Xenopus tropicalis: one gene and its partner. The protein of the gene in region 2 interacts with the protein of the main gene of each other region in a biochemical or structural test. Links are inferred from orthologs where the notes say so. Each region holds a gene or a part of one and is shown on either strand. Other genes may lie near its edges.

What was found.
Region 1: the proteins of rp2 (region 2) and arl3 form a complex in vitro, tested with the Homo sapiens proteins (2 studies listed by BioGRID). The link is inferred for Xenopus tropicalis from reciprocal best matches to the Homo sapiens genes RP2 and ARL3.

What each region holds. Positions count from the first base shown.
Region 1 is NC_030683.2:29,019,632-29,024,219, forward strand, and holds the start of arl3 (ADP-ribosylation factor-like protein 3), read left to right. Parts: upstream 1-1,467; 5' UTR 1,468-1,561; coding exon 1,562-1,564; intron 1,565-4,588. UniProt on the Homo sapiens protein: Small GTP-binding protein which cycles between an inactive GDP-bound and an active GTP-bound form, and the rate of cycling is regulated by guanine nucleotide exchange factors (GEF) and GTPase-activating proteins (GAP).
Region 2 is NC_030678.2:114,952,186-114,956,016, forward strand, and holds part of rp2 (protein XRP2), read left to right. Parts: intron 1-866; coding exon 867-1,532; intron 1,533-2,871; coding exon 2,872-2,986; intron 2,987-3,487; coding exon 3,488-3,573; intron 3,574-3,831. UniProt on the Homo sapiens protein: Acts as a GTPase-activating protein (GAP) involved in trafficking between the Golgi and the ciliary membrane.

The DNA of each region.
Region 1 (4,588 bases), on a different chromosome or scaffold from region 2:
ACATGATTAGAGTACCGTTAAAATCAAATCATTATTCAGAAGAGACAGCACTCCCTATACATGATTAGAGTGCCATTAAAATGAAATCATTATTCAAAAGAGACAGCGCCATTTAAATCACATTATTCAGCAGAGACAGCACTCACTATACATGATTAGAGTGCCATTAAAATGAAATCATTATTCAGCAGAGACAGCGCCATTTAAAGCACATTATTCAGCAGAGACAGCACTCACTATACATGATTAGAGTGCCGTTTCAGCAGAGACAGCTCTCCATATAATTGACTAAACTGTAGCATATCCCACACAGCTCAGCAGGTACAGTTCCCCCTATAGGGAACCGCTCATAATACATTATATATAACTGACATATACATAACTCTACATACATAACTCTACCCATACGTACTATACCGATACGTACTATACCGATACGTACTATACCGATACGTACTATACCGATACGTACTATACCGATACGTACTATACCGATACGTACTATACCGATACCCATACTTACTATACCGATACCCATACTTACTATACCGATACCCATACTTACTATACCGATACCCATACTTACTATACCGATACGTACTATACCTATACCCATACTTACTATACCCATACTTACTATACCGATACGATTGTAAGCTCTTTTGGGCAGGGCCCTCTTCACCTCTTGTATCTGTTACTGATTGCTTTATATGTTACTCTGTATGTCCAATGTATGTAACTCACTTATTGTACAGCGCTGCGGAATATGTTGGCGCTTTATAAATAAATGTTAATGTAATGTATGTACTATACCGATACGTACTATACCGATACGTACTATACCGATACGTACTATACCGATACGTACTATACCGATACGTACTATACCGATACGTACTATACCGATACGTACTATACCGATACGTACTATACACGCTTCAGCAGGCACATTTCTCCCTATATCAGATTATCAGCAGGCACATTTCTCCCTATATCAGATTATCAGCAGGCACATTTCTCCCTATATATGATATATATAAGATTACAGTTGCTTACAATGCCACAATGGACACATAAGGGCAGTTAAGGAGTACATATGGCACAGGAACCTTGCAATAGCCTTTCACCTATACATATGATGCAACCATAACAAAATTCAAAGCCACCAATGCACATCGGTTAGGCATTTACTTGTACATAGTGCAAACTCCTCATGTACCGTACCTGTACCGTGGCTACAACTCTTCACTCCACTAACTGCCATTCACTTTTCAGGTCTTCCGTCCACGCTAGCTACTTAGATCACTGTAGCCTTTAGGACTGCCCCCACCTATTACCTCAGCCAATCGAGTCCCATATCTGTGCCGCTCCCACTTTCTCTTCCCTTGGTGCTTTACAAGCGACTGCAAGTTTTCCGCATGCGCACACCGCCGCAAGGTGGTAGTTCAGGGCGAGGTTTGCCCTCAATGCGCAGCGTCTAGGGGCGTGGCTAAACGTACAACGCACGCCGCGTCGCTGGGTGACGTAGTTGCCCCTGGTAACCTGGAGAGTCGCTGAGAGGATGGTGAGTGGTGCTTTGAGGGGTTCTCGTATCTGGTATTTTAGGATGTTAAAATCCTTCAGGAGTTTGGGGAGGGAAAGAGGCAGCAGATAATGAAAACTAGCTTATTTATTGGTAAATAAAAAATGTGTAATAGGAGAATTCCTCAATGGGTATAGAAAGCTATGGTTGCCGGGACGCCATGATGCTAAAGAGGTAAAAAGGGAGGGGAGAGGGAGGACTGTCACCGTTCCGCTGCTCATCCATTGCTTTTCAGCTTAAATCGCACACACCGTAACCGGGACCGGGAACTATAACTACCAGAATCCCCTGATAGCCGGACATTGTAGTTCCAGGCCAATAGGAGAGTCACAGCTAGAGGCTCTCCGGCTCCAAGGGGTTAAGGAAAGAGATTAAATCGGCAAAGCTCCAGGCCTAATGCCAGGTCTATACCAAAGGGAATACAGATATTACCTTATCTTTTAATTCGAGCATAAAAATCTTTGGTCTCTTTTAGAGACTGCTCTTATCTATTTCTCCTGGGTCTCATTGATGTATTACATCCTGTACATCAGTAGAATAGTCCCCAGCAGCAATGCATGGATGTAGATAAGTAGAGATAACGTTATGTTTTATACAAGCAGTAGTATCTGGAGAGGAGGCAGACCCTGCAGTTGCTGCTAGTTTTGGAGGGCGCTCAAATGATCTCGCTGTGGGGCTCCGTTATGCTGCTGTTGACTATAAATCAATGTGGATCAAATTTTATTTGTAGTTTGTTGATCATTTTTTACATTACATGTTCCGCTGCTGGATTATATGCACATTTTGATGTCATAAAAATACGTTTTTTAAACCCTTGAGCAAACTAGGGGCTGTAATAATGACTTGAGGAGTTAAGGTGGCCATACATGTCAAGATCCGCTCTTGTCTCGATATCCCCCACCTACGGGTGGGGGATATTGGGTGAATTCAGGCTAATTCGGTTGGTTGTTTGGCCCTGGGGACAAACGATCGAATTAGAACGCTGGTAATAGGCGCAATTGGTTCGGGGACTGCATCAACGAGCCGTCGTAGTCCCCGATCCGACCAAATTTTTTAACCTGCCCGATTGATATCTGCCCCATTTCAGGCCAGATGTCGGTCGGGCAGGCCTGTTGTCCCCCTACATGGCCCGATAAGCAGCCGAATCAGTCTAAGGTCCCGATATCGGCAGCTACAAGGTGTATGGCCACCTTAAAGGCCTATAATGCTCTAGTTTGTACAGACCTGCCATACAGAATGATGTTGCCCAATTTTCCCTATTGAAGTCATTATTGGCATCTCTGTCCCCAAAATAGGAACTTGCAAGCAGATAAGTAATTATGATAACATTTATTTGTCAGTTGCACCGCTTATTCAAGAGTTTCATCCTAATATTCCATTCCTAATACGCTTCACCTGCAAAAACTTTTCTAATGGTTGACCACAATGCATTATGAGTGGTTCTGTTTCAGTAAGCATTGTTTCATGTGTGGTAAAAATAACTGTGAACATATGTATTCTTCTATATTAACAGACTAGGCAGAATGTATTTGTAGGGTAAGTTCTATTCATTTGATGGTGAAGCTATATGTAGATGTATACTGCCCTTTTAAAGGAACACTAACATCAAAAAATGAAGGCGTTTTAAAGTAATTGAAATATAATGTACTGTTGTCCTGTACTATTGAAACAGTTGAGTTTGCTTCAGAAACCCAACTATGGTTTATATAAATACACTGCTGTGTAGCCATGAGATGCAGCCATTAAACTGGGGAAAAAAGGAGAAAAGATACAGGTTACATAGCAGAAAACATATTAGCCCATGGCTACACAGCAGCTTGTTTAATATAAACTATAGTAGTGTTTCTGTAGCAAACACACACATTTTAACATTTCAGGGCAACAGTACATTATGTCCTGATTACTTTAAAACATTTTCATTTCATTTATTTTGGTGTTACTATTGTTACTTTATGTATTTAACTATTTTTGGCTGCAGTTCTCCAGTTTGGAATTTGGATTAAGATTTAAAGTCAGATTTAATACATAAAAACATAATATATAAATGTTTAACTTATTTAATACATAAAAATCATGATCTGTGTATTTCTATGGAAATTTTAGAAGCATATTTATCAAATTGTGAACTTTCACCGATTGATAAATACACTTCTTAAAAACCCATAGGAATGAATAGAACATGGGTGAGTTTTTGTGTGTATTAGACTTTAAACTCACATTTTGATAAATCAGTAACACTAGCAATGGGCCTCTTTGTTTAAATATATTTACAACTGTATGTTTCATAATGTATAACAATTATTATAAATCATTTTTGATATAGTGCTGATGTTAAACAACACTTTATAGTGGTTGTTGATCATTCACATTAGTTCCTGTCCTAGTGGTGTTTACAGTGTATATTTGTTTCAATTAAACTTGCATATACAGGTATTGGACCTGTTATTCAGAATGCTCAAGGCCTGGGGTTTTACAGATAAGGGATTGTTCTGTAATTTGGATCTCCATACCTTAAAGGAACAGTAACACCAAAAAATTAAAGAGCTTTAAAGTAATAAAAATATAATGCACTGTTGCCCTGCACTGGTAAAACTGGTGTGTTTGCTACAGTAACACTACTATAATTTATATAATAAGCTGCTGTGTAGCCACGGGGGCAGCCATTCAAGCTGGAAAAAAGGAGAAAAGGCACAGGTTACATAGCAGATAACAGATAAGTTCTGTAGAATACAATAGTGTTTTATCTGTTATCTGCTATGTGCCTGTGCCTTTTCTCCTTTGAATGGCTGCCTCCATGGCTACACAGCAGCTTATTTATATAAATTATTGTAGACTTTCTGAAGTAAACACACAACTTTTACCAGTGCAGGGCAGCAGCACATTATATTTTAGTTACTTTTATACACTTTCATTTTTTGGTGTTACTGTTCCTTTAAGTCTACTAAAAATCATTTAAACATTAAATAAACCCAATAGGATAGTTTTGCCTTCAATAAGGATTAGTTA
Region 2 (3,831 bases):
TTGACTTCCACACCACAGCTTCCTGTTCTGTCTACTAGGTTTAAGTTTTCTATAAGGGCAAAGGTTAAGTAATGACTAACTGGCGTTAATGCTTGCAGGAAAATAAGGCTGCCTACAGACAGTCTCCTTTACATTGAGGGTGCTGTAAAAAAAAAAAAATCAGTGGCAGAAAGTAAATATTTTTTTTCAACAGCATCAATAAGTTCTGTAGTCCTTTGTTGCATTAACAATATGTCTTATGTGGCTGTAAGCTAAGTGGGATAGTACATGTAGGTTGCTGTAAACAGTTTGCCTTTAAATATATTGCACACAACAGAAAATATATCATAGCCTTAAGAGTTTGTTGCAAAGTATCATTTCCCTTAGATGGATAGTGTTAGATTTTTTGCATAACGAATGAAAATGCAATTTTTAGCAACTTTCTAGTTTACTTTAATTTAATATTTTCATTTATTTCAAAGGGTATTTGTAAATATAGTTGTTGTGAAAAGTGGTATCTACTATTCTCTCAACTTCTTGTTCTGATTACTTATACCATTGTCACACAATATTTTTGGCTTGCTCCAGCCACAATACTTTACACGTTCTGTGAAAGTGCTGAGAATAACAGTAAAAGGCATTGGCCAGAGGAGAGCTGACGTATTGCGTTTTCACTAAAACTCTGATGGCAGACAAATGTATAGATTAGATATTGGATATTATATTTTTATAAGCAGCTACAATGTTTAGTTATATAGTTTCCCTCTATGCACTTGTAAGGCATAGAGAGTTGTGTATGCTTTCTGAATGGAGCATAAGGGTTTTTTTTTTACATTTCATTTCCTCCTCCAATAATGATCTCTATTTTTCTTTTATATTTTCATTAGGTTGACCCAAAGGATTATATGTTTTCTGGACTAAAGGACCAGACTGTAGGCAAACTGCCAGATAAAGTTGCAGGTCAACAATTTGTTATACAGGAGTGTGAAAACTGCAACATCTACATCTTTGACCACTCTGCAACCATCACTATTGACGATTGTACCAACTGTCGCATATTTTTAGGGCCTGTAAAGGGCAGTGTGTTTTTCCGTGACTGTAAAGACTGCAAATGCGTGGTGGCCTGCCAACAATTCCGCACTAGGGACTGCAGGAGAATGGATGTGTTCCTGTGCTGCTCCACCCAGCCTATTATAGAGTCCTCTACAGGCATGAAGTTTGGATGCTTTCAGTACTATTACCCAGAGCTGGCATTGCAGTTCAAGGAAGCTGGATTGAGCATTTTTAACAATACATGGAGCAACATCCATGACTTTACACCTGTTGCTGGAGAAACAAACTGGTCCCTTCTCCCACCTGATTCTGTCATCCAAGATTTTATACCCCTGCCTGATTCAGAAGAGCTGAAATGTGTTCGGGTTTCTGCAGATATTCATAAGAGCATAATACCTGTAACCTGGGGGCAGCGGCTGAAGAAAAGTGATGAATCCTGCTTGGTGGTTTTCTTTGCTGGAGATTACACCACAGCAAATGCTAGAAAAATGATCGATGAGGTAATAGAAGTTGCAATCTTTTATTGCACCTGGCCAGGGCTAGTATAAATGTATAATATATTACAATTCAGTTTATTGTTAAGCATCAAAATTATGTTTCCTGTATAAAAGCGAAATTTACAGTTTGAAAGCAAGAATTCTGGGATGAATCCTATTATTGCTCTTAAAAATTTTCATTGACATGGAATAACTGAAGCTGCAGTGTTTTAAAGCACAGCTAAAGCAGTATGCTGATCAGTTTTCCAATTCCAGGCCATTCATCCTTCTTGGAGCTCTTCAGTACATTGTCTAGCTTTCTGATAAGCTTATATAGAGCTAGGGAAGTGGATTCACAAAAAAAGCATTTTGGTTTGAGGCGAGAGCATCCTCATTCATTTGAAAAGCAGAACTAATTCTTGCAAGAAAGCCCAGTATTGCTCTTTGCAATGGCATTGAACACCCTTATAGCTAAAACCCACCCACTGAGTTTTAATGCACAGGCATAGAAGAATGCTGTGGTTTTTTGGAAACATGACTAAAGGTGGCCATAGACGTAACAATTATGATCTTTCCTGTGACCATTGGTCACAAGAAAGATTGTTCGTACCCTCCACTGAAGTTCAGGGCTGAATTGTATCATATAGAGGTAGAAACAATAGGAATTCTAGCCCTATCTGACGATTCAGCCCTAAAAGCAGCTTTTGCTCCACGCCTTCAATGACGATCAAAATATTTGCCACGCCTGAAGGCATTTGAGATATCGGTCATCTCGTTGAGCCACCATACACGCCCCAAATATTGTACAAAACCTTGTTTTGTACGATAATATCGGTGCTTGTATGGTCAGTTTTATACATACTTATTTTGTGATAAGGTAAAAACCTATACCAAGGCCAGAGCTTTTTATGCTCTGATCAGCTCTGAAAAAAAGATTTGTAACTATTTTGGAGTCATTGTTAGTATGTGCCTGCTCTGCCCCATTTTTGGTAATGAAGCTTCTTTTTCCAATTGATGGGGCTGAGCTGGACCAGGAAAGTGCATATTTTTTTTTCTCCCAGCATAAGAGCAGGAAGGTAACGCATGCTACCTTAATAATAGTTTTATGACACTTGTGAGACTAAAATTTAATATTTTGTGATATATATAGTTCAAGTTTTAAAAGGGAAAAAACAAAACAAATGTATTAATTTTTAAAGTATCCCTCCTAATGCTAAAACTATACCCTTTAGTGAATATCATAGTGTCTTTGCACTTATAAAAAGCTTGTTATTTTCTAGAAGAGCCCCATCTTTTGGGGGGGTTTTATTGTTGGTAATCTCTACCATGTTGTGCCTAACCCACTTTTTCATCCTTAATGCAGATGGTTGGCAAAGGGCTATCTCTTATTCAGACTAAGGAAGTTGCAATGAAAACTGAAGATGCAAAAAGAGTATTTCAGGACAAAGTCACAGATTTAATCTCTCTGGTGGAGAAAGGTATGACCTAGGCCTTGCTGAAGGTTCATTTTTAATTTTTACAGCATTTCATCACCCTGCACTTGTAATGCAGTCATAGGATATGAAAACAAAACTGTGCCTGATATAATAAAAAATCAGAATTTGATTTATGTGGTAACTCGTGCCTAACCTTAAATGAAGAAATAGGCCACCACTTTCCATAAGATAACTGTAGATAAAAATCCTCACATGGTTACTTTACCCAGTGTCATTGGGTATGATCCTTATATGTAATTGGCCAGCACTCACCAATTCTACTTCTCTAGAAAACAGGTGCCTTTTGCAGGTTGTCCACTAGTCAACTAGGAATCACAGCACCATCCAAATTTCCAAATTTAAAAAGCCTTTATTGGAATCTCATGGCTGTCAGTCTCTCGATCAAACAACATTTCAGGCCCAACCATGGCCCTTTTCCAACTGAAGCTATGCCCTATATTTTGTCTTTATCCTTATGTCCTGCCTACAATTTTTCCTCTCAAGGTCCTGTAGTTGCACTGGAATTTAATGGCGATGGAGCAGTAGACAACTGTCAGTCAGTGATCAGCAACACCTTCAGTGGCTCCAAGGTGAGTGGTTAAGCCTGAGAGAAAAAAAAGATCTCTTCTTTTAGAGTGTGTGGGATTTTAGATGACCTTACATCATAGTTTCGGTGTCTGCAAGTAACGTTACTCTTTAAACTGTCCTAAAGCTTGTCTCCAACTGTTACAACTAGCTCAGCCAATTTCACTGACTTGGAACATTGGTTTAGGGATGCTTCCAAATTAAGGTCCACCAACAGCATGAGTGTGGACTTATTAACCAACCTTAAAGAATTCAGGACAGCT